Linked DNA regions of Alligator mississippiensis. The protein of the gene in region 2 purifies or fractionates together with the protein of the main gene of each other region. This does not show direct contact. Links are inferred from orthologs where the notes say so. Each region holds a gene or a part of one and is shown on either strand. Other genes may lie near its edges.

Region 1 (11,380 bases), on a different chromosome or scaffold from region 2:
ACAGGAATTCCTGAACCACAGCCAAGGCCAGTGGCCATTTTATACAAGCTGCTGTTCAGAAGTCAGTCTACTAATTTTGGGTTTATATAAATTACAAACTAGTTAGAACTGCTAGAACTATAAATATAGGTATTTCACATCAGGCAGCCCCACCAACTGCACCCTTGATTTTACAACACATTTTATGATGACCCCAAGTTCACAGCTAATCTTTATTTTGATTCCATTTTTTTAAAGTCAATAGCCTTGAGTATTATACAATTAAGAGAAGGTGTTGGGTTTTTTTTGTTTGTTCACACTGGATGCATCTCTTCAGCAAGAAATATTCCCCCACCTCCCCAAACCAACCTTTGCAAGAAATGGCTTTACAAAAGTATGCCCTAGCTTTGACCACATGGCTCAAAGAAAAATAAACCAGCCTGAGATGTTGGAACACTAAGCTTACCCAAGGCAGCACAGACCTAAAGGGTCCATTCTGTGTCTAACTTCAGTCTTGCTGGAATCATGGACCACATATGAACAGTTTTGTTCCTACACAAAACAAGATATCCTGGTTTACAATATATTCACATATTTACAGCACTTCAAGATAAAGCTATTAAAAAAATAGTAGATTCTCTCTCTACTTGGATCAAGTTGAGGATTTGTAAAAACTTTATCAAGTGTTCACTCCTCCTTTCAGCATCCGCTCCATCACTGTGACAGGATACTGAGCAAGACGGATCTACGGTGTGACCCAGTAAGTGGCAGTTCTTACATCACTGCAAACTTTAAGAGCCATCATCTTAATCTAATTAAGAAGGCACATTTAAATACAATGTCTACTAGTGGCAGCATTATAAAAGTACTCCTAAACTGTTCTAGGGGAAAAGGCAAAACGCTAAAGAAATAAGACTGTAAATTTACTTCTACTCAGCTGAATGGCCTGAAGTCAGCCAGCTGGACCACCCCACATTTGAATACATGTTTAAAGGATCCAGTGGCGCACAAATCTCTTCCAAAAAGGAAAAAACAAAACAAACAAACAAAGCAAAGAGAAATCATTAATCTTATTGTGAATGTTTTACACAAGCACTAGTCAAAATTTGACTTGGAGGCAGTCACTAGGACCAAAGATCTTGAAGGAGCTTAGCCCAGTCATAACACTTAAGCTTTGATTTGCGCACTGGATGGCGAGCTGATGGCATTTTACTTATTAGGTTTTGCACTTTAGTTTGTTTCCACACTAAAACTAATAGGGCCCTGAACTTTTTTCAGGAGAGTATGCAACTTCCATGTAACACACTTTACCAATTTGAAGCTATAAACTAGGGAGAAATTAGAGACCTAGTAATACAAATAAAATGTGAACTTAAAAGCCTTTTCTCCCCCCCCCCAATCCCATATCCAAATACTTGGCAAGGTCCAGAGAAAGAGACATTTAACCAGAACTTTCAGTCAAGTAATATATCTCTCCCCCCCACCCCAAATCATGACTTTATTGCAGTTTCAGAAGCCACAAAGGTAATGTACAGCTGAACAACTGGCTGAAAGTTCTATATAGCTTCCTCCTCGTACCTTCACAAAAACAAAGCCAAACACAAACAAAAACTAAGCTGACATTTTCTAATGAATGCCTCAAGAAAAAAAAAAAGATTAAGAACTACTGCCCTGTAGTAAGCAGCTCCTCAGCTCCATTCCAACTGTCCAGGCTCAGCACATAAGAAACTTAACCAAGCCCGGATAAGGAAAGGAGGAGATTAAGCTTGGACATGTGTAACAAGTAGCTTAAAAGAGGCTGTTTAAACATAGTGAAGTGGAACATGCCCTCATATCATCAGTAAGAAACAGACATGTCCTTCAGGCTGAAGTTGCAACTATTTGACTAGAAGTGTTAGTTAACTAAATTAATGTAATACTCAGTGGAGGTTCTCTGAATTCCAATTTGAACCCGTTTTATATGATTCTTACTTAATTCCTTACCAAGTTAAGCCAAGTTCATTAAACCAGTCTAAACGGGGCCCACATACTCTTAAAAGAAAAATGACTTCATTAAATAAAAACAAAGTTTTAAAATTAAATTAGGACGCAATTTTGAACAGGGACAAAGCCAAAAATTAAGGGAGTGGTGGAAGGAAGCTCACAATTGGCATCAATGCACAACAGAACACCATCATGATTAGCAAAAAAACCAAGCAAGCGCAGTGCAAGTTTCTCCAGAAATTCTTTTGCCTGGAGGTGGGGACAGATTCAGGTCACTTCAAAGGTTCAAGGTGACGTAGTAACCCCTTGAGTAAGGCCAAGAGTCGAAGTAATAAAGTTCTAGAATAGAACTACATGTGATAGATTGAGTAAATAAATTGTTGGCCATGTAACCACTTAAACCTTTAAAAAAAAAAAAAATTTCTTGACTATCACCTCCAGTAGTTAGCTAATCCTTGCCTCCCTATATGCAGGGAATGCATTTGCAGTTGCCACAGGTACTGTACATAAATAAGTAGCTAAGGCTGGAAATTTAAGATTAATAAGAATAAGCCAGGCTAGCTGAAATCTGATGCTATGATTGAGTGTCTATGTGCCAGTTTCCAGCTTTAGAGAGTTTTCAGCAATAGCTTACCTTGACCTCATCAGATGAAGGTCAACTTGGAGGGAAGGCAAACAAGTCTTGAGCACCATCCTCTCCTTTGCCTTCCCAACTCCCAAATATTTATCTCATCTTGACAGGCCAAATTGCATTTATAAACCAAACTTACTCTAAAATATACACCATTCTTTTTCTTATCCTATATCCCCAACCAACCAGCACACATTTCAGTGCTTTTTTTTTTTTTTTTTATTTTTCTTTTTAAGAAAAGAACAAGAAACAATCTAATAAAAAGTCTAGGCCTAGAGCTAATCCTTAGTCACTAAACTTAGATTAATGCTCCAAGAACTAAGGGAGAGCTCCTTTCACAGCTGTTCTGGCACCATTGGCAAAGATATTCTCAGTAGCATTTCAGCTGCTTACCAATTATAGACATTTCAACTGCATTCACAAAGTTAGCAGCCTGTGCAAGTTGCAGATCATAGCAGAGCACTGCTGAGTAAACAGAGTGCTGCACTGTAAGTTTGCTGCCGAATCCAAGTGGTTTTGACAAAGAACCACATGAAGAATCATTTATTGAAGTCATCTAGCCTTCAGGTAAATACCATTCCAGTTGCGAGCAAAGACACCATAAGTTTGACTACATAGGCCTGGGATAAGAATTAGCCTAGGAAACAGCTTCCCTTCCCCCAAACACAAAAGTTAATGTTTAGCAAATACAGTACATGCAAAAACCTTTGCTTTTTTGTACATACTTTGCTTCCTACAGTCTCTGCCTCTCCCTTTTCACAGAGTTCCCTTGAGTGCTCTGCCTTGGCTGGTTACAGGGCTAAAATTTACCATTTGGGCCTAAGGCACCCATTTATTCAAGCCTGTAAATAAGATCTTAGTAATGGTATACTACTCAGAATGCTATGGACCATGTGGCCTTCCCATATCCTCTTTAAAAACCACCTTTACTCTAAGTAAATACCCTTTTTTCACAGACCTACTATAAATCACTTCTTTTAAAATACTTCATAAAGATGTTTCTCTGAAGCTGGCATAGGAAGTAGATTTAAAAAAAAAAAACAAAAAAAACCACACACGAAAAACAACAAACAAGCCACATCCCCAGACACCTGCTCACACATACTATTGGATGTACCCAGAAGCAACTGCCTTCGATTCATAACTTGACTTTGCCAGATGTTTAAAGAGAGTCCGCAGAAGCATCTATTACTTTCCCTTGGTAGCCAGTTCCTCACTGTTATTTTACAGCCATAGACAGACTTTTACCTAGCAGTGCAAACAGATAGAAATACAGTTGATCCCTCTAAATACTCAAAGGGATAAAAAGAATTTGATGAAGCTACCCCTAAAGTCTCCTTCTCTGAACAATTTAGTCTACGAGATCCCCACCTTCTGCCTAACAATCAACTAATCTCACAACTTTTTTCAGATATTACCGACGGCCCTTGCGTTGTGCAGCGCTAGGTTGAAGACCTGCCTCAATTTGTTACTGTGCTCCATGGAGTTCAACCCATTTGAGACTTCCTGCACTCAAGGTCTGCACCTCTAAACATGTCAGAGAGGAATCCCAACAGCTGCAAAGGAAGGTCCTACCAGCAAAACACCACAGAGCGCTTCAACTGAATTCAGACTAAACAGAAAAAAAGGTGTGGCCAGAGGCAAAAACAGTTGTTGTCTCATCCTGTTTTTGCAAGGCATCTTAGCACATCGCTTTAAAAGAAGGCACATAAAAAGAAATCCAAGAACTCAACCAGCTAAGTCTCGCCGAGAGAGAGTTTAACTTCTCAGGAACAAACTCTTGGACTCCATGTTGCGCCTGCATTGCTGGGGGAACCTGCGTACATCTTCAGTGTGTTCCCAGATTGAAAACAAAGCTATGCCACGTTATGCTGCCCTATAGAAGAGCAGGAACAAGGAAGTGAAACAGCGTTAAAAAAAGATAGCAATAATAAATAAATAGCCCTAAATCACAGGGTTGGAAGGGGCCTCAAAGATTATCCTCCAGAGCAGCCCAGACACCTTGGGGAGGGGGAGTCAGGGTTGAACTTCAGGCAGGCCCTCACACCTCTGCCCAAAGGCCCAGCTTCAAACAAAAGGTGGTCCCAAACGAGTTTTCAGGCACCAACTACTAACATCTTCAGAGCTGGGAGAGTCACTTTGATCCGACGTGGCAGGTGTGGCCGGGCCACATTTAAAACGGGACACTTATCGCTGCATTTTGCTTAGCAAACCAAGCAAGGGCAGTGCAAGTTTCACGCCAGTCAAGGGTGCAAGGTGTGCAACAGGTAGCAGGGCCCCCCCGAGACCCAGGGAAGCAGAAAGCAGAGTGGCTCCTGTCTCTGGCAGACAGAGAAGAAGCCTTGATGCCAACACAAGAGAGAAAAGCGAGAGAGCTGAGCCAGCCCTGGGGAGGGCGAGGAGAAAGCCTTGCGGGATGGGGACTTTCCAGAGGCAGGACAGGACTCCTGGGGTGCGGAGCACCTCTCTTAAAGAGGCTGCAAAACTAGCTTGCCCCACTTCACTTTGCAACCAGGGTGCAGCCCCCTGCATGGCATCAGGCACCTGTGGAGCTGGCACTGCTCGGCAGCTCCAGGGGCTGTGCAGGCTACTTCCTCCCACCCAATTCGGCTCCAGGCTCCGCTCCCTGGGGCCCCTCGTCCCCCCGCCCGGAGCCACCTCCAGCCTGAGGCAGAGCGCGCGGGGGGGGCAGCCCAGCCCAGCCAGGGCTCCGGTGAGGCGAGTTTGCAAGGCAGGGAGCCCAACCCCTGGACCCTCCCTCCGCTCTGGGGTGCCCCTTACCCAGAAGATGAAGTTGAAGACGAAGAGCAGGTACTTGATACACTTAATGCCTCCTTTCACCGGCATCCTAGCGGCTGCAGGAGCCAAAGGGGTCCGACAGCTGCAGCGGGGCTCGGGACGCAGGAAGGACACGCCGCGCACTGCCCCGCCTTAAATGCGGGCGAGTCCCTGGAGCAGTCCAGCGCCTCCCCTCCCCCTCCCTCCTGCCCCGCCCCGCCCCGCCCTGCCCTGCCCTGCCCTGCCCTGCCGCGTCCCGCGCCCGCCCCGCGGGCTCGACGGGCGCCGGGGGCTGCAAGGCGGGACGAGAGGCGTGGGGGGCGGCCGCGGAGGCTCCCTCTCCTCGCCCCCAGCCCCGAGAACCCAGGTCGGAAGCGGGAAGGAGCCCCGGAGCGGTGTTGGCTGCCCCCTTCCCAGAACATGAGTCGAGAGCCGCGGCAGGGCTTGCAGCTTTCCGGGCACCGCTCTGGGACAGGAGGCTCCGGAGAGTTGCACCGTATAGACTAACCCCGGGGTGTGTGTGTATACTTATGGCTACGCAGGTGCGTATGCAGATGACTGTGCACATGCACATGTATACACACCCCAAAAGATATGGATACAGGCATACATATGGCTATATAGATAGATATCGATACATACATACACACACTTAGCTATATATACATGCATACATATAGGCTTACAAATATGTGTATATTTGTATGCGTATATGTGTGTGTGTGTATACATGCGTACAGATCTACATACACATGTATGTGTGTGGGCGTATGTATGCATGTGTGCATACATGTGTGTGTGTGTGTGTGTGTGTGTGTGTGTGTATATATATCTGCCATGTTGCAGGGGTGTAGGTTGTAGCCGTGTTGGTCTAAGGACAGAGGCAGACAAGATTCTTTGGGTGAATCTGGTATCTTTTATTAGACCCACTCAAACAGTTGGAAAAATTCTTCTTTGCAACTTTCAGACACAATCACCCTTCGTCATGCTGAGGAAGCACCTGCAGTTGCTCTGCCCTTTTCCTGTGTTTTTCCCATTTTAGGTATTAAGGGTTTGGAACAGTTTAAGTAGATTGATTTTAAATAAACATAACTGAATGGCTGCACTCCTCAAATATGGACAAGGCAATAGTGACGGCAACCTATAAAGAGAAATGGCAGGGAGGGAAGCAAATACAACTAGAGGTTTCTGCCACCCCTAAGATCCTGCTTTCTTGAGGTTGAGGGGCACATTTTCATGTTTTGTTTGTAAGTATAATCACAAGCTTTCATGAGATGAAGCTAATTTTAACCAATGGTGTGAAAGGACATACAACAAGCAGTGTAGAAGAAGAAAAGGAGAAAAAATGTTCTTTCTCCTACACTGCTTGTTGCACTTCCTTTCACAACATTGGTTGAAGTGAACTTCAGCTCAGGAAAGCTTGTGCTATCTATGTATATGTGTATGTAAGTGGATATATATACATACACACGTATAGATAGCAAGCACAAGCTTTCTACTGTATGTGTGTATAAGTGTAGATATATATCTATATATAGATATAAATGTATGTGTATATACACCATCCAGGAAGAGCACACACCAACTGCTGAAGAAGCTTCCTTAGCCTGACGAAGGGTTTTTGAACCCGAAAGCTTGCTTAATAACTATTCACCAACCATTTGGGTTGGTCTAATAAAAGATATCAAATTCACCCAAGGAACCTTGTCTGCCTGTGTATATACATGTGTGTGCATGTGTATATACGTGTGTATATACATGTGTGTACACATGTGTGCGCGATACATGCACACACACGTGCATGCACACACACACACTTCTGTTAGTCTATAACATGCAAATCTGCCCGGCCTTCTACTTAATTTCAGACTAACAGGTTTAATTATGTGTCTCAGATTTAAAAAAAAAAAAGACACTCCAGGATAGCATTCCTCAAAGATCCGTCCAAAATCTTAAGCAAAACCCTAGCAACTGGATTTACTGCTCACTGAGATGAAGGTTTAAAATTGCAATAAGTTAGATGTCTAGACATCCTGGTAGTGCAAAATTCTAGAAAATGATTCTAATGCAATGAAGTAGGCAAGTATAGAGAGATGCTTACAAAATGCAAACTTCTCAACCTTCTTCGAGACTCAAGGTAACTCTTGTTAGACTCAAGGCACCGCATGCCAGCTCTTAATTTTCACTCATTTTTTGAGTATGGAAAAAGAATAGAGCAATTCTTCTGTTGCAAAGAACTCAAAGACCACAACAGGTCAAAATGGTTTTGACATTATGGATTTTCATTTGAAATCTCTGTGTTTATCTTGTGAATCATGTTTGCACAATTAACAATACCAACATTGTGTGGCACTCCATGTCATCCTTGAAAGGATGTCAGGGTGCTGTAGCATCCTTGTTTTGAACCAATACAAACTAGTTTAGCCCTTGCTTACCAATTTAAGATAGACTGATGTATGTATCTCTCCATCACAAACTGAAGTGACTTAAGTATGGATTAAACCAGTTTAGGTATTAAGAGTTTGCAACAGCTTAAGTAGGTTGATTTTTAAATAAAGGTAACTGCTGCAGTCCTCAAATATGGACAAGGGTATAGTGACTGCAACCTATAAAGAGAAACAGAGGGCCAGAGCCTCCACTGCTGTAAATTTGCCATTGCCTACTTGCTATGGTAATTTACACCTGCTAAACCTGTAAATCAGATTCTGCTGTGGAAACCCAAAGAAGCATGATTGAAATGCAAATAAAAGGTTTTTAGTATTAGCATTGTCAAAATTTAAAGGACTCCCGTAATGAATGTTTGTCAGAACTTTCTAAGATAAGGCTTTACAATGTGAAGCTAATGCAACTGAGGAAGGCATAAAATAGAGATAGTATCCGAAAAACCAAAAAATCTAAATGCAAATAAGATATTCTTTCATTTGAAAACAAGGAAGGAAAAACATGCAACTCTGGGAGAAAGGAGAGAGAGAGGCACACTTGGTCATTATGATGAGGGGGTGGGGGTTCTACACACCTGGCACTGACCACAAACGGGGTTAGTGAAAGCCTCTGGCCCCAATGAACTCTTACTTACTACACCTGCGGTAGATATTAGGCATGAAGCTGGTTATTGACTTGTTTTTTCCTGAAGTTATAGCAGGGGACCTGGGAGTTTGAAAACTTGCTGGATAATTTCTTTTTAAATTTCTTGCTTTCTGGTGTTTTGTAACCTTTGATAATTTAGGAAGACTGGTGGGTTATCTGACCTGTAGAGCTGAAGCTCCATGATTTTGCACTCTGGAAAGATATGTGTAGTTTGTTACTGTGGCTAGTTAATAGGGTATCTGTGAAGTTGTATGCCTATTGCAATGATGTGTGTCTAGAAAGATCAAAATTTGTTAATGGGTACTTAAAAAAAAATCTTGTAAGTTGTTCTTGGTTGTATGATTGGTCTTTGTGTGGCAGTGGAGAAGCTTTAAAATATCTTTTGTATATTTCAGTTTTATTGTTTTTCACCTACTTCCTATTTAGTGTGGATAATAGTGATGTCCTTAACTTCCTATGGTAGCTTGAAAAGTACAGAGGGGAAAACCACTCTCTTAGCGCTATGGTTACAACGAAGCCTACTTTCTGAAGTTGGGCAAAACTTACATGACTTGAAATACCAAATGCTTTGGATATGAACAGGAACTTTTAGAAACTGTTAATGGCTTGCTTATCCAAAAAATATCTCCCCATTTCTTCTCCCTATACTTTCTATGAAGAACACATTTGTTGCTGTTCATGTCATCTTTCTTTGCCTGTTGGTTGTGGGTTTTTGTTTTGTTTTTTAAATTTTGTAATCCTGGAGGGACCTGCCATCCTGGAGTTAAGGAGGAGTGTAGGGGCCTCTGGATCTTCTAGGGACATTGCTTTGGACTTGGCAACATGGAATTGCTGCTATGTAGCTTTAGACTTCTATTGTAGTCCACAGGAACTCTTGTACCTCTTTTGACTGACAGCAGAATTGAGCTTTAATAAGTCAAAATCTCCTGTAAATTGTTTTTTTTGCCTGGTGTAACTCCATTGAAACAGTACATGGAAATATAAAGATGCAAAATTGACTTGTCCATTTATAGGATGACTAGCAAAATAATGCCAGTGAACATTAAGAATTTTGTGTTTAATTCAATTTGATTTAATTCAATTCAATTTCCTACTCTGATAAGTAAGACACATCTGCAGTTGTAAGGGTGCTAGATAAAGACCTCTTGAGGTATCTCCAAGCAATTGGGAAATGCTTTGCATAGAAGAGCCTTCATGAAGATCACCATAGAAAAGCATAATGGAGAAAATACATTGGTGGTCAAAATTCACTTTCTCAAGCATTTGAAATAAAAATAGTTGGCATTCTCATGCAACAGTCTTCTTTTACGACAACAAGGATGAGGAGGTCACTGAGCTTTGGACTGGACAGCATATGATACTCTAAACTGAAACTGAACTCCTCTGAAGGAATACTTTGGAATAAGATGATTCTTGAGGGTGTTGGTGATGATCATCTGCATTTGACTGATGTTGGCTAGTTATTTTCTGTTCTGTTAGTCTTCCTTTCCTCCAGAAAATCACTGATTTCACATAGGGTTGCTAGCAAGGAAGAATGAGCACACATCTGGCACTGTCAAGGAAAAGTCCTACTAGTCAGGGATAAATCAGTTTCATTCTGGGCCTTGGTTTCAGAGTAAAAATTAAAAGTGGATTGAGCATTGTCCATTCTGATAGATGTGCTGTGAGTTTGATAACCATAACAGCAGTTCAGTTCTGAATGGTTTCTTACTGCCTCTAGCCATTTTGTCTGGTCTGGCAGATTGTCTGTCATCTCTCAAGAGAGAGGTACCAGAGACTTCTTTTGGGACTTCATTATTGCTATTAATTTTAAGTGGGTGTTCTGATACTGAGAGACATTGATGGGAAGCAGTAAACAACTCATAGTCGGAACACTCTCTCTCTCTATCATGTCAGTCCACACACAGTGTTACCATACATTAAAAAGTCTACAGATGTGTTACAGTGCAGAAACTAATCGCACATGAATCTGATGCCTGCATGATGCGGGTATCAAACTTATACTCAAGTTGGTGCAAGTGGCCATATTTAATGTGCAGTACAGGCATGCATAAGTAACCTATTTTAATGTGCATTAAAGTGTCACTAAAACCATGCTTTTTAATTAATGCTCATTAAATGCCACTTAAACTGTTCTTTAGTTAATGTGCATTAAGACAGGCTAATGTGCTTTAAAGCTCGTGTAGACGCACCCACTGAAAAGGAAATTTAAAGAACGGGGCACATCTACATGTACATATTCACTGTGCATTATAGGTGTGCATCTACTTGCAATGGAGGACATTTATACACTTACCTTCTCCAATGTGTCACAGGACAAAATCCTGCGCATCAGAGAAGACTCAATTAATCAAGTCTGCTCGACATGCAAGCTAACACACACTGTGCTGCTTCGCATGCAGTTGTATAAGCAGCAAAATGTGTGCCAGCACTCAAAATGGTGGCAGTGCACTTTTGAACTAAAACACATCAAAGGTGTTTTAGTTCAAAAGCGCACCGCCGCCATTTTCTTAGTGCTGACGTGTGTTTCGCTGCTTATACAATGGCACGTGTGGCAGCACCAGGTGCTTTTAAAAGCACCGAGCGCTGTGGCACAAGCATGTTTACAAATGCCCAGAGGTACTAAATTTAATGTGCATTAACTTGCTTTAGTTAATGCATATGTAAACATGCCCAGCTAGGGTTAATGTGTGGGATTAAGTTTTTTTTGGATAAATTGGGCACATGCAATTGCCTATAATTTAACACAAGTTGTTACAAAGGGGAAAAAATAGAAAAGGTCATAGTTTTAAGGGAAAATTATGGCTCATAACATCTAGTTTTCACGGGAACATGGGAAGTCAGCTAGATACCTTTTTATTTTACAATAAAATAGTTTTAACAGCATTTTATATTTAATTAATAATTTTAAATGTTACACTC
Region 2 (11,689 bases):
ACTGGCCATGCGGCCACGGAGTGGGGGCTGGGGCGTGGGGGAGGCGGCTGTGACCCGCAGCGAGTCGGAGATCACTGAGGGGAGTAGAAGTGGGGGTCAGAGGGCAGCTGGGAAGGGGGGAAGCCCCTGGCCTTGCTCCGCCAGCAAGAGTACCCAGGAGTCCTGTCCCCTAGCACCCTGATCTAACCACCAAGCCCCCAGGCCTCCGACAGAGCCAGGGACAGGACCCAGGAGGCCCAACTCTTAGCTTTCCTGCTGCGACTCACAAGACCCTGCTCCCCTCCAGGAACCTGAGAGAGGACCCAGGAGTCTTGACGCCTGCTCACCAGCCCACATCATACACACATGGAAACAGACTGCTCTGGCCTCTCTAAACACTGCTTCCCCTTCCAGAGCCCAGGAAAGAACCCAGGAGTCCAGGATCCTGGGCACTCAATCTAACCCAGGGACAGACTTCCCCTGGAAAGGCCCAAGGAAGTTCCCCAAGAGCCCGGGGTGGCCCCAGGACTAGCTCAGCCACAGGAAAGAGGAACCTGGTCTTCTCCTCTCCAGGGTAAGATCATCCCTGCCACGTCCCAGCAGGCAACCCCCCCAAGCTGCTATCCCTCTGACCCACAGCTGGACTCCCACTATGGCCAGAGTTGGGGCAGAGCATGCCCTGCATTGAGCCCCCCATTGGTCCCTGCAGCCTGTGGCATAGGGGCTCAGCCAGAGGGCTATGGAGGGAGCCCCAGAATGCCCCTGGAGGGGCTGCCCCCTGGCCTCGTGCCCCCCTCCCCCAGCCTGGTGCTAGCTCCCATCCGGCTGCTGTTTGCTTTCAGCACATGACACATCTCTGTGGGGGTGGGGGAGCTGCTGCAGTCATGGGACCAGGATCCATCCCAGGCACCGCCCAGGCAGGAGGTGGGGTAGCTGCCAGCTGAACCCAGTAACAATGACCCCTGGCTGGGGCAGGGATTGTGTGTACAGCACCTGGCACAGAGGAGGTCGTGAACCAGGGGCCTGGGGTGATCCAGGGTCAGCTGTACCAATAACCCACCCAAGACCAGACCTTTGTATGGGTGCAACTGCTGCCTGAATGGAGGTGGCCTCGCCTCACCCTGTGTGGGGAACCGTACCTTTCAGCGCCACCTTGCTACTGTAGCTGCCGTGGTACTGGGAGTCGGTGGAGGGAGTGTAACACTCGTAGATGCCATCATCCTCGGGCTGGAGGTGGGCAATGCGCAGCTCCACGGCGTCCCCACGGAGCCGCTGCATGGCCACATCACCGCTCTGCACGCGGGAGCTGAAGACGGCGTAGGGGAAGGCGGGGTCCTTGGTGCTGATGATGCCGATGGCAATCGTGGGTGCAGCTGAGCGGTACACGGACCACTCGAAGTGCTGCAGTGTGGAGCCCTCATACTCTGTCACGTGGCAGGGGATGGCCACGGCTGTGCCCTCTACCCGCAGCAGGGGCCCTGGCGGCACGTGCACCTCCCGCGCTGTGCTCAGCCCTGCGGAGACAGAGCAGTCAAGCTTGGGGGCACGGGTGGGGCTCTCTGCACCAGGCCGGGGCCACAGACCTCTACAGCCCCCTCCCTGCCTGCAGCTCAACCCCTGCCACGTATCACCTGGGGTTGCTAAACTCCAGCCACGCAGCCCCAGGATCCCAGCCATGCATACCCCTCTCACAGTCACATACACTGCCTGGTCCCAGGTCCTCCCGTGCATTACCCGCCCCCCCATTCCCACATACAGCTCTGGGCCCCACATCCCACCCATGCACAGTGAGGTGGGAACCCAGGAGTCCAGCTCTAGGGATGGCAGGTGTCCCACCCCTGCCGGAGGGGTCTCCACTGCGCTACTGCCCCTGCTCCGCACTGTGAGGGAGCCAGCACTGCCCTGGGAAAGGCAGAGCAGCCCTGAGGCAGCTGTAAAATACAACAGCTTCCAGAAAAGCCCTGGGGCAGGGAGGAGGTGAGGCCCAGGCTGGGCTGTGAGGCACCCTGTGGTCACCTTAGACCTTTCCTTGCGAGCATGTCCTTCTCCTGCTGCACCCTGGGGCAGGGCCAGTCCAGCTGCCCACCCTGTTGCATGCCCGCACCCTGTAGGGGCCCAGGCCCTGAGACGTTAAGGTGGCCCTGCCATCAAAGACAATACTCAGGCCTCCCTGGGACCAGGTCCCTGGGCAGCAGCCGGGAGCAGCAGACCTAGATGGCGCTGCCAGCCTGGGACCCAAGCAGCGGTACCAGCACCCAGGGTCCGGCACCAGTGGGATTACAGGGCCATGCCAGGGCCCCTAGCCCCATGACCCAGCCCAGCCAACCCTCATGTGCAGGGAAACCTGAATGGAGAGAGCCCATCACCACCCCCCATTGCATCTCCAGCTGCCCCCACCCACCGCAGGGCTGTGGCTAAACCCAGGCCCCAGCTCCGCAACGCAGGGGCCCGCAGTACCAGGCCCATGCACCCATTCCCAAGTGCTCCCCTCTTTGCCAGCCCCTGCCCTATGCGACGGGCAGGCGACCCGTGGGCAGCCCACAGAGGCACAAAGGCCCTTTCTCCCCCTGGTTGCACAGCTGGATCACGCTCTCCAATCTGGGTCAGGCCACAGCGGGGGGTGGGGGGCTGGGATGGCGCAGCCTGGCGAGGACAGAGGTCACACATGCTGCTGCTCAGCACGCAGCTCACGCCGTCAGGGTGGCTGCGTGGAGCAAGGGGACATGCCCTGCGCCATGGATCAACCCCCCACCCCCACTTCCATTCAACCCAGAGCTCCCCTGACAGAGAGCACCCAGCGATCCCTGGCCCAGACTGGGCCACTGTAGCACCCACAGCTGCAAAGACTGGGAGGGGCAGCTGGGGGGGCACGGGCAGAGTGCCAGATGGGGGGACACCCCATACCCACTCCCCAGGCACCCCTAGCACCTCTGCTTAACTCTGCCATCCTGGGGAAGTGGGGGGCAACCTTAAAAGTGGGAGTCCCTTGCCTCCAGGACACGGCCAAACCCAAGTTTTTAGAGCCCGTCTCCCTGAATGGGCTTGCAGGGGAAAGGCAGAGGTGTGGGCAAGGCAGGGGACCAGGGAAGTGGGGTGCATGAGCCAGGGGCATTGGGGGACCTCTTGCCTCCCATGTGAGACCATCACAGTGAGATGCAGCTTGCACAGACAGCTCCCTGCGCTGGGCACTGTGGGGGAGGGGGCAGCAGATGGCTGTGGTGGGAAGGGCACAGATGGCGTTGCTGGCAGCGCAGGGGATGTATGGTGGGGGGTGGCATCAGCCTTGTCACTGGCACCTTCCCCCGCGCCATCACCAAGTGGGTGGCAGTGCCCTGGGCTGTTCTCCGGCTGCCGCTGTGGCCCCAGTGCTGGTGTCAAGCACAGCTGAGAGCAGAGGCAGGGAGCAGGCGTGCTGGCTCCAGCTCCCACAGGCACCTGCAATGGCACAGGCTGCAGCAGAGCTGCTTAGGGCTGCAAATCCGGAGCTTACGGGCGGCTGGGCCCAGCGCTCCCCGAGCCGTGCTGGGTCCAGGCTGGTCCAGCCCAGGTGCCAGAGCCTGCCCCGGCCCCAGGCACCGGCCACGGAGCAGGGCCCAGGGAACCAGGGCCCTGAGCGCAATAGAGCACCCGCCACCTCCTTCACCCTGCCCCAGCGTGGCTCTGCCACTAACCCCCCTACCCCTGCCAGGCCTCTGCTCCCCACGGGCACAGGTGGGTTCATGCCCTGCTTTCCCCTGCACCCTTTCAGCCCACTTCCCTGCAGGGAAGGGCACCCTGACCCCAGTGTAGCCACCAGCACATGCCCCTGCCGCAGGAGAGTTATTGCAGACGGAGCAACCTATCTCAGTCCCCCTCCGACATGCATGCACACGCAACAGGGGAGAGAAAGTGCAGAGAAATGGTACAGAGACAGCCAACCCGCCCGCCTGCCCAGCGCCCTGTGCACACTCTCCCCCCTCCACCTGGCTCTCTCCCCAGCTCCAGCTGCCACCTCCCCTTCCTGCCCCACTGGGCTCCAGTCCAGCCAGTGTCCCTGATCCATCTCATACTGGGATGGGGGGGGACAGGCCCGGCCCAAGGACTGCAGAGGAGCTGACAGAGGCCAGGCCCAGAAAGAAGGGGGAGCTGGCCGCCGCCCTGCCCGATTCTTTTTCCATAGTGAGCTCCATTCCCGCCCATCCGTTTCAACACTGCCTGGAGCCAAAAGGCAGGAGTGAGTCACCTTCCTTGGCACAAAACATTGGCTCCAGGGCCAGAAAGCCTTGGCAAAGCCCCACAGCCACCTCCCTCAGCCCCTGGCCCTGAACTAGAGGCAGAGAGGCAAGGGAAGTCCAGGCTCTGGCTGGCATGGGGGTACAGGGAAGGGCAGGGGCAGGGCACAGAGGTTGAAGGTGGGGGGAGGCTGGGGCCTGAGCCACGGGCACAGCAGCTGCCTGCAGCTGGATCTCCAGGGCTGCCGGGTGGCACTGCCCCATGCGGGGGAGGGGGGGGGGGACGACCCTGCTACCCCATGTGGGTCAGCTCTGGGATGTGCCTGGTGGCCTCTCCCTGCCCCCAGTGCCCTCGGGGCACAGCCAGGCCTGGGGGCAGCATAGGGAGACAAGGAGGGGGCACTGGAGCAGTCTGGGGACGGTGGCAGCGGGGCTAGGAGGGTCCAGAAGGGAGGGGGGAACACTGGGGTTACGAGTCAAGGCACCTGCCAGCTTTGCTACACATGCACACCCATGTGGGGGTGTGCACACCTCCCATGCACACCCACCAACCCCCCACAACATTCACACAGAAACACCCACACCATGTGCACACACACGCACACACACACACACACACATGTGCACCTGCACACCCACACACACATACATATGCCTGTATGCCCCCATGCATGCGCACACACACGCACCCGTGCCTCTACACCCCCATGCATGCACGCGCGTACACACACACACACACACACACACACACACGTGTACCTCCCCATGCACTTGCAAGCGTACATATGAAGTGGGTGTACACCCTCATGTGTGTGCACACACACATAAAATGGGGACACCCCCCCAATGCATGCACACACAAACGCGGAGATGCGGGTGTACAACCCATGCATGCACGCGCGCGCGCACACACAGACGCGGGTGCACGCCATGCACGCGCACACACACGTACAGCTGCGCACCCCCATGTACACGCCCCCCCGCACCCCGGAGGCTCCCGCGCTGGCCCGGCCACAGGCGGGAACCCGCGCCCCGGGCCAGGGCCGGGCCGGGCCGAGCTGCACGGGGAGCTCCCGCCCCGCCCCCGGCCCGCAGCGCCCCCGCTCACCGAGCAGCAGCACCAGCAGCATCGGGATGGGGGCCGGGAGCGGGATGGGGGCGCCCCGCGGCAGCGCGTCCCGGGCGGCTCCCATGGCGGCGCGGGCGGCTCCGCTCAGGGAAGCCCCGCCCGGCCCCACAGCCACCGCCACGACCACGGCCCGCCCCGCCCCGCCCCGCCGCAGCCCGGCTCCACCCCCGTCTGCAGCGCCCTGGGCCACCGCGCGGGTCCCGGCCCAGCCCCGCGCGCCCGCGGCGCCCCACACGGGGCCCAGCCCGGCGGCCTGGCACCACCTTCCTCCGGCGTCCAGCACAGCTCCACCATAGCACCCTGCGCACCCACCATCCACCCCGTGTCCAGCACAGCTCCACCATAGCACCCTGCGCACCCACCATCCACCCCGTGTCCAGCACAGCTCCACCATAGCACCCTGCGCACCCACCATCCACCCCGTGTCCAGCACAGCTCCACCATAGCACCCTGCGCACCCAGCATCCACCCCGCGTCCAGCACAGCTCCACCATAGCACCCTGCGCACCCAGCATCCACCCCGCGTCCAGCACAGCTCCACCATAGCACCCTGCGCGCCCAGCATCCACCCCGCGTCCAGCACAGCTCCACCATAGCACCCTGCGCGCCCAGCAACCACCCCGTGTCCAGCACAGCTCCACCATAGCACCCTGCGCACCCACCATCCACCCCGCGTCCAGCACATCTCCACCATAGCACCCTGCGCACCCACCATCCACCCCGCGTCCAGCACAGCTCCACCATAGCACCCTGCGCACCCACCATCCACCCCGTGTCCAGCACAGCTCCACTATAGCACCCTGCGCACCCAGCATCCACCCCGCGTCCAGCACAGCTCCACCATAGCACCCTGCGCACCCACCATCCACCCCGCGTCCAGCACATCTCCACCATAGCACCCTGCGCACCCACCATCCACCCCGCGTCCAGCACAGCTCCACCATAGCACCCTGCGCACCCACCATCCACCCCGTGTCCAGCACAGCTCCACCATAGCACCCTGCGCACCCAGCATCCACCCCGTGTCCAGCACAGCTCCACCATAGCACCCTGCGCACCCACCATCCACCCCGCGTCCAGCACATCTCCACCATAGCACCCTGCGCACCCACCATCCACCCCGCGTCCAGCACAGCTCCACCATAGCACCCTGCGCACCCACCATCCACCCCGTGTCCAGCACAGCTCCACCATAGCACCCTGCGCACCCAGCATCCACCCCGTGTCCAGCACAGCTCCACCATAGCACCCTGCGCACCCAGCATCCACCCCGCGTCCAGCACAGCTCCGCCATAGCACCCTGCGCACCCACCATCCACCCCGCGTCCAGCACAGCTCCGCCATAGCACCCTGCGCACCCACCATCCACCCCGTGTCCAGCACAGCTCCACCATAGCACCCTGCGCGCCCACCATCCACCCCGCGTCCAGCACAGCTCCACCATAGCACCCTGCGCACCCAGCATCCACCCCGCGTCCAGCACAGCTCCACCATAGCACCCTGCGCACCCAGCATCCACCCCGCGTCCAGCACAGCTCCACCATAGCACCCTGCGCACCCAGCATCCACCCCGCGTCCAGCACAGCTCCACCATAGCACCCTGCGCACCCAGCATCCACCCCGCGTCCAGCACAGCTCCACCATAGCACCCTGCGCACCCAGCATCCACCCCGCGTCCAGCACAGCTCCACCATAGCACCCTGCGCACCCAGCATCCACCCCGCGTCCAGCACAGCTCCACCATAGCACCCTGCGCACCCAGCATCCACCCCGCGTCCAGCACAGCTCCACCATAGCACCCTGCGCACCCACCATCCACCCCGCGTCCAGCACAGCTCCACCATAGCACCCTGCGCACCCACCATCCACCCCGCGTCCAGCACAGCTCCACCATAGCACCCTGCGCACCCAGCATCCACCCCGCGTCCAGCACAGCTCCACCATAGCACCCTGCGCACCCAGCATCCACCCCGTGTCCAGCACAGCTCCACCATAGCACCCTGCGCACCCAGCATCCACCCCGTGTCCAGCACAGCTCCACCATAGCACCCTGCGCACCCAGCATCCACCTCGTGTCCAGCACAGCTCCACCATAGCACCCTGCGCACCCAGCATCCACCCCGTGTCCAGCACAGCTCCACCATAGCACCCTGTGCACCCAGCATCCACCCCGTGTCCAGCACAGCTCCACCATAGCACCCTGCGCACCCAGCATCCACCTCGTGTCCAGCACAGCTCCACCATAGCACCCTGCGCACCCAGCATCCACCCCGTGTCCAGCACAGCTCCACCATAGCACCCTGCGCACCCAGCATCCACCCCGCGTCCAGCACAGCTCCACCATAGCACCCTGCGCACCCAGCATCCACCCCGTGTCCAGCACAGCTCCACCATACCACCCTGCGCACCCACCATCCACCCCGCGTCCAGCACAGCTCCACCATAGCACCCTGCGCACCCAGCATCCACCCCGCGTCCAGCACAGCTCCACCATAGCACCCTGCGCACCCAGCATCCACCCCGTGTCCAGCACAGCTCCACCATACCACCCTGCGCACCCACCATCCACCCCGCGTCCAGCACAGCTCCACCATAGCACCCTGCGCACCCACCATCCACCCCGTGTCCAGCACAGCTCCACCATAGCACCCTGCGCACCCAGCATCCACCCCGTGTCCAGCACAGCTCCACCATAGCACCCTGCGCACCCACCATCCACCCCGTGTCCAGCACAGCTCCACCATAGCACCCTGCGCACCCACCATCCACCCCGTGTCCAGCACAGCTCCACCATAGCACCCTGCGCACCCAGCATCCACCCCGTGTCCAGCACAGCTCCACCATAGCACCCTGCACACCCAGCATCCACCCCGTGTCCAGCACAGCTCCACCATAGAAACCTGCACACCCAGCATCCACCCCGTGTCCAGCACAGCTCCACCATAGCACCCTGCGCACCCAGCATCCACCCCGTGTCCAGCACAGCTCCACCATAGCACCTTGCGCACCCAGAATCCAGCCCTGTGTCCAGCACAGCTCCACCATAGCACCCTGCGCACCCAGCATCCACCCTGTGTCCAGAACAGCTCCACCATAGAAACCTGCGCACCCAGCATCCACCCCATGTCCAGCACAGCTCCTCTATAGCACCCTGTGCACCCAGCATCCAGCCCCATGTCCAGCACAGCTCCACTATAGCACCCTGCACACCCAGGGTCCCAGCCCCAGCCGCAGCACAGCACCCCCACTGCACTGCAGACCCAGGGCCCTGGCCTCATCTCCAGCCCAGCACCCTGGGCACCCAGGGGTAGTGGATACCCTGGGTGAGCAATCCTCATGTGGGGTGGCTGTTAAATGCTTGCTGGGTCCCACCCCAGAGGTGGCTGCATTGCAAGACCTTGCAGGCCCCTGCAGGCCCTTTCCACCGCTTTGAAGCTCCTAGGCACCATCAATCATCAGGATGCAGTGGGAGGCTGCAGGGATGGCCCCAAGGATCCCTGTGCCAAGAGGGGCAGTTGGGATTACAGAAGGAGAGGACAGTGCATGTTCGTGCCTAGGAGGGCAGGTCACGGGCTGTAGACATGCCTTGGCACTGAGACCACACCGACCGGCAGAGAGCAGACTACTGGCCAAGCTAACACCTAAATTACAAGTGACATGCTGAAGCTGGTGCACAGTTAATAATCACTAAGTTATATTTAAGTCACAACAGTAGCCTACGAAGTAAACTAAAAATGTTGTAGGGAAGCCATTAACATTAAACGAGGCCAAGGCCAAATAGCTGCTGCTTGACTTAAGTCAACCACCGCTATCACCGCCACTATAAGTGACAACTACCCTTTTGCTAACAACCGAGTGATCCGTGGGCAGCTAGGATTTTATTGAAATCACCCTTTATCTTCATTAACCTGTTGTCAGCCCTGGCCATATTCGAGGGGCTGGTGCTCAGCTGCAGACATGAGGCCAGAGAAGGCCACAAACCCTGTCCCAGACCGAGCCTGCCCATTTACAACTGGCTTTGTCAGCAAAGTAAAAGAAACCAAACATGGCAAGAGGGCAGAGGAGCAAAGTCCTCTCTCCCAGGACGGTCCTTTTCACAAGGACACAGGCCCCAGGTAACGTGTCTTTTGAGCCCACAGAAAAGCTGGTTCAGCCTAGTTCCTAAAGCCCAGTCAGACAAACCCACTGCAACAACACCTGGCAGAATATTTCTTTGTGCCGCATATAACTGAGTGGAAACAGGGAGAGTTTGGGGAAGACCGCAGCACGTTCAAAGCAAGCTGCTGCCAGCCTGCATGCCGCTGTCCTCTCTCCAGCTGCTGCAGGTGAGAATATTGTGCTGTTGTGATAAGCATGGAGGGAGGGGCTTATTCTTGTGATTTGGGGTGTAAATCAATAAAAGCTTGGGGTATGGACCTGCTTTCCGCCTCTTTGTCTAACCTGGGTGGTGGCAATACCTGGCCAGCTAAGAGGGAACGGAGGATCATTGGGGAATGTAGTTGTGGCATGATTCAGTGTGCAGAAAGGATAGTCATTAAGTACCTACCTCTGAATCTGTGTCTAAGCTTGCAAAAAAGTCCAGCTGTGAAAGGAAGGCCTGCAGTCTTCTCTCTCTATAGGCTGAACACTACCAGGTTTTTAGTTGTGACTTGGCCCCCAGGACATAGCCATGAGGTCAGGCCTGTGCCTTGGGGGTCTCTAAGATGCTGGTGGGGGCAGAACTGGCCTGCTCCATCTCAGAGCTGCTGGCCTGTGCTGGACCCCCCAGGGCAGCTGCAGGGAGGAGGGGAGCAGGCTGCCAGGGGGGCAAGGAGCTGCCAGTGGCTGGATGGAGGACTCCAAGGGCCAGGGGAGCACCCTCCTGGGGCTAGAGGGAAAAATAAACTGAGGGGGTGGAGGCTGGTGGTGAGAGCAGGGGGATGGGAAGGGGTGGGCCCACACCCCCAGGAGCCCTATGCCAAAAACCACATCAAACCGTGGCTGCCATGGCCTTGATCCATCTCTCCTGCTGTCCCCGGGGCACAATGGCAGGGGGTGTGCTAAGGCCCCGGCATTGCTAGCCCAGTGCCACGGCTGAGAGGGGCGCTATGATCTGGTCTTTTTGGGACATGTGCGTTTGCAGAGCATTGAACATGCCCCTGCCCCTGCCTTGCTCTGGACAGCTCGCAGCCTCCCTGGCTCTGCAGGCCAGTTGCCCCCAGAGCCAACCCCCTTGAGCTGAGCAGAGCAGCCAGACTGCAGCACTGCAGGGGCAGCATGGGCCCCCGCATGCTCCCAGGAGCTGGCTGCATGCCACCCGCTTCTCACCTGGGCATGAAGATGGGCATCACAGGCCCCAGCCTTGCCATGAGAGCAGAACTGGCTCAGAGCCCCATGGCCAGGGGCACAGACCCCCATCCTGGCCCTTGGGCCCAGCTCAGGACTAGGCCCACGGCCAGCCCTGTGAAGGACCCAATCCTGCCCCCAGGAGGGCTGGCCCCAGTGGGTGGTGGGCATAAAACACTGGTGGTGTGCAAGGAGGTCTGTGTGCCACTCACGGGTGCAGGCCAGGCTGGGGCTGGAAGCAGCTCTCTGCCCAGCTGGCCGGCTGCTATCGATCCTGCCCGGGTCAATGCCAATTAATTTCCTGCTTCTCCCCAGAGGATGCCGCTGCTGGGCGGTCGAAGCTGGCGTCTGCTCTTTCCTCCCAGCACTGGAGGGGGTGGGCAGAGCTGGGGTGAGATTCCCCATGTACCCACAGGCTGGAGCAAGGAGGGCAGGAAGGGGCCAGGTGCAATGGAGGGACAGGAGCCAGGAGAGCGCGGCTGGGGTGGGTGAGGGGTGGACACGATGGGGAGGTGGGTTTGGGGGGAGCGGTTGTAAAGGGCATGAGGGGGTTTATGTGGATAGAGGGGGATAGGTGTCTGGGCCGAGCCCTGCTCCCCAGTTCACACTGCGTGGGTTAGAGCAATGGGCCCATGGGGCCTGCTACCTCCCCCCACCCGGCTGAGCCTGAGTTTCCCCAGCCCTGTGCCCCTGGTCTCGCCCACTGCCCCCCTGCCTGCCTGCTGCAGAGCACAGCCCCGGGGCTGAGCATGGCAATCCCTGCCCTTAGCCCCCGGGACCCAGAGCGAAGGACGGTGGGTGTAGGGGTACGGTCATGGCCCTTTGCCCTGTGGTAACACTAGGGTGGGGGGCTGTGCCACGGCATAACCTCACCCCCGCCAAATGGGGACCACGATCCACTGAGCGCCAGGGCCTGAAGCAGCAGGGCGCTACAGCCCAGGGCTGGGGTGAGGGACCCAGGACCTCATGGCAGACACTGACTCCCCCCACCCTGTGCTGCCACCTGGGAGTGTCCACAGTGGAGGGGAACACCCTGGCTCAGCCT

The links.
Region 1: the proteins of IGSF8 (region 2) and CD9 purify together in Homo sapiens (affinity purification with mass spectrometry; 5 studies listed by BioGRID and IntAct, counting the BioPlex papers as one, with this or other methods). This does not show direct contact. The link is inferred for Alligator mississippiensis from reciprocal best matches to the Homo sapiens genes IGSF8 and CD9.

The regions. Positions count from the first base shown.
Region 1 is NC_081827.1:140,327,313-140,338,692, forward strand, and holds the start of CD9 (CD9 antigen), read right to left. Parts: upstream 5,526-11,380; 5' UTR 5,441-5,525; coding exon 5,375-5,440; intron 1-5,374. UniProt on the Homo sapiens protein: Integral membrane protein associated with integrins, which regulates different processes, such as sperm-egg fusion, platelet activation and aggregation, and cell adhesion.
Region 2 is NC_081838.1:20,973,867-20,985,555, forward strand, and holds the start of IGSF8 (immunoglobulin superfamily member 8), read right to left. Parts: upstream 5,430-11,689; 5' UTR 5,384-5,429; coding exon 5,299-5,383; intron 1,494-5,298; coding exon 1,119-1,493; intron 75-1,118; coding exon 1-74. UniProt on the Homo sapiens protein: Member of the immunoglobulin superfamily (IgSF) that links tetraspanin-enriched microdomains to the actin cytoskeleton and plays several important roles in innate and adaptive immunity.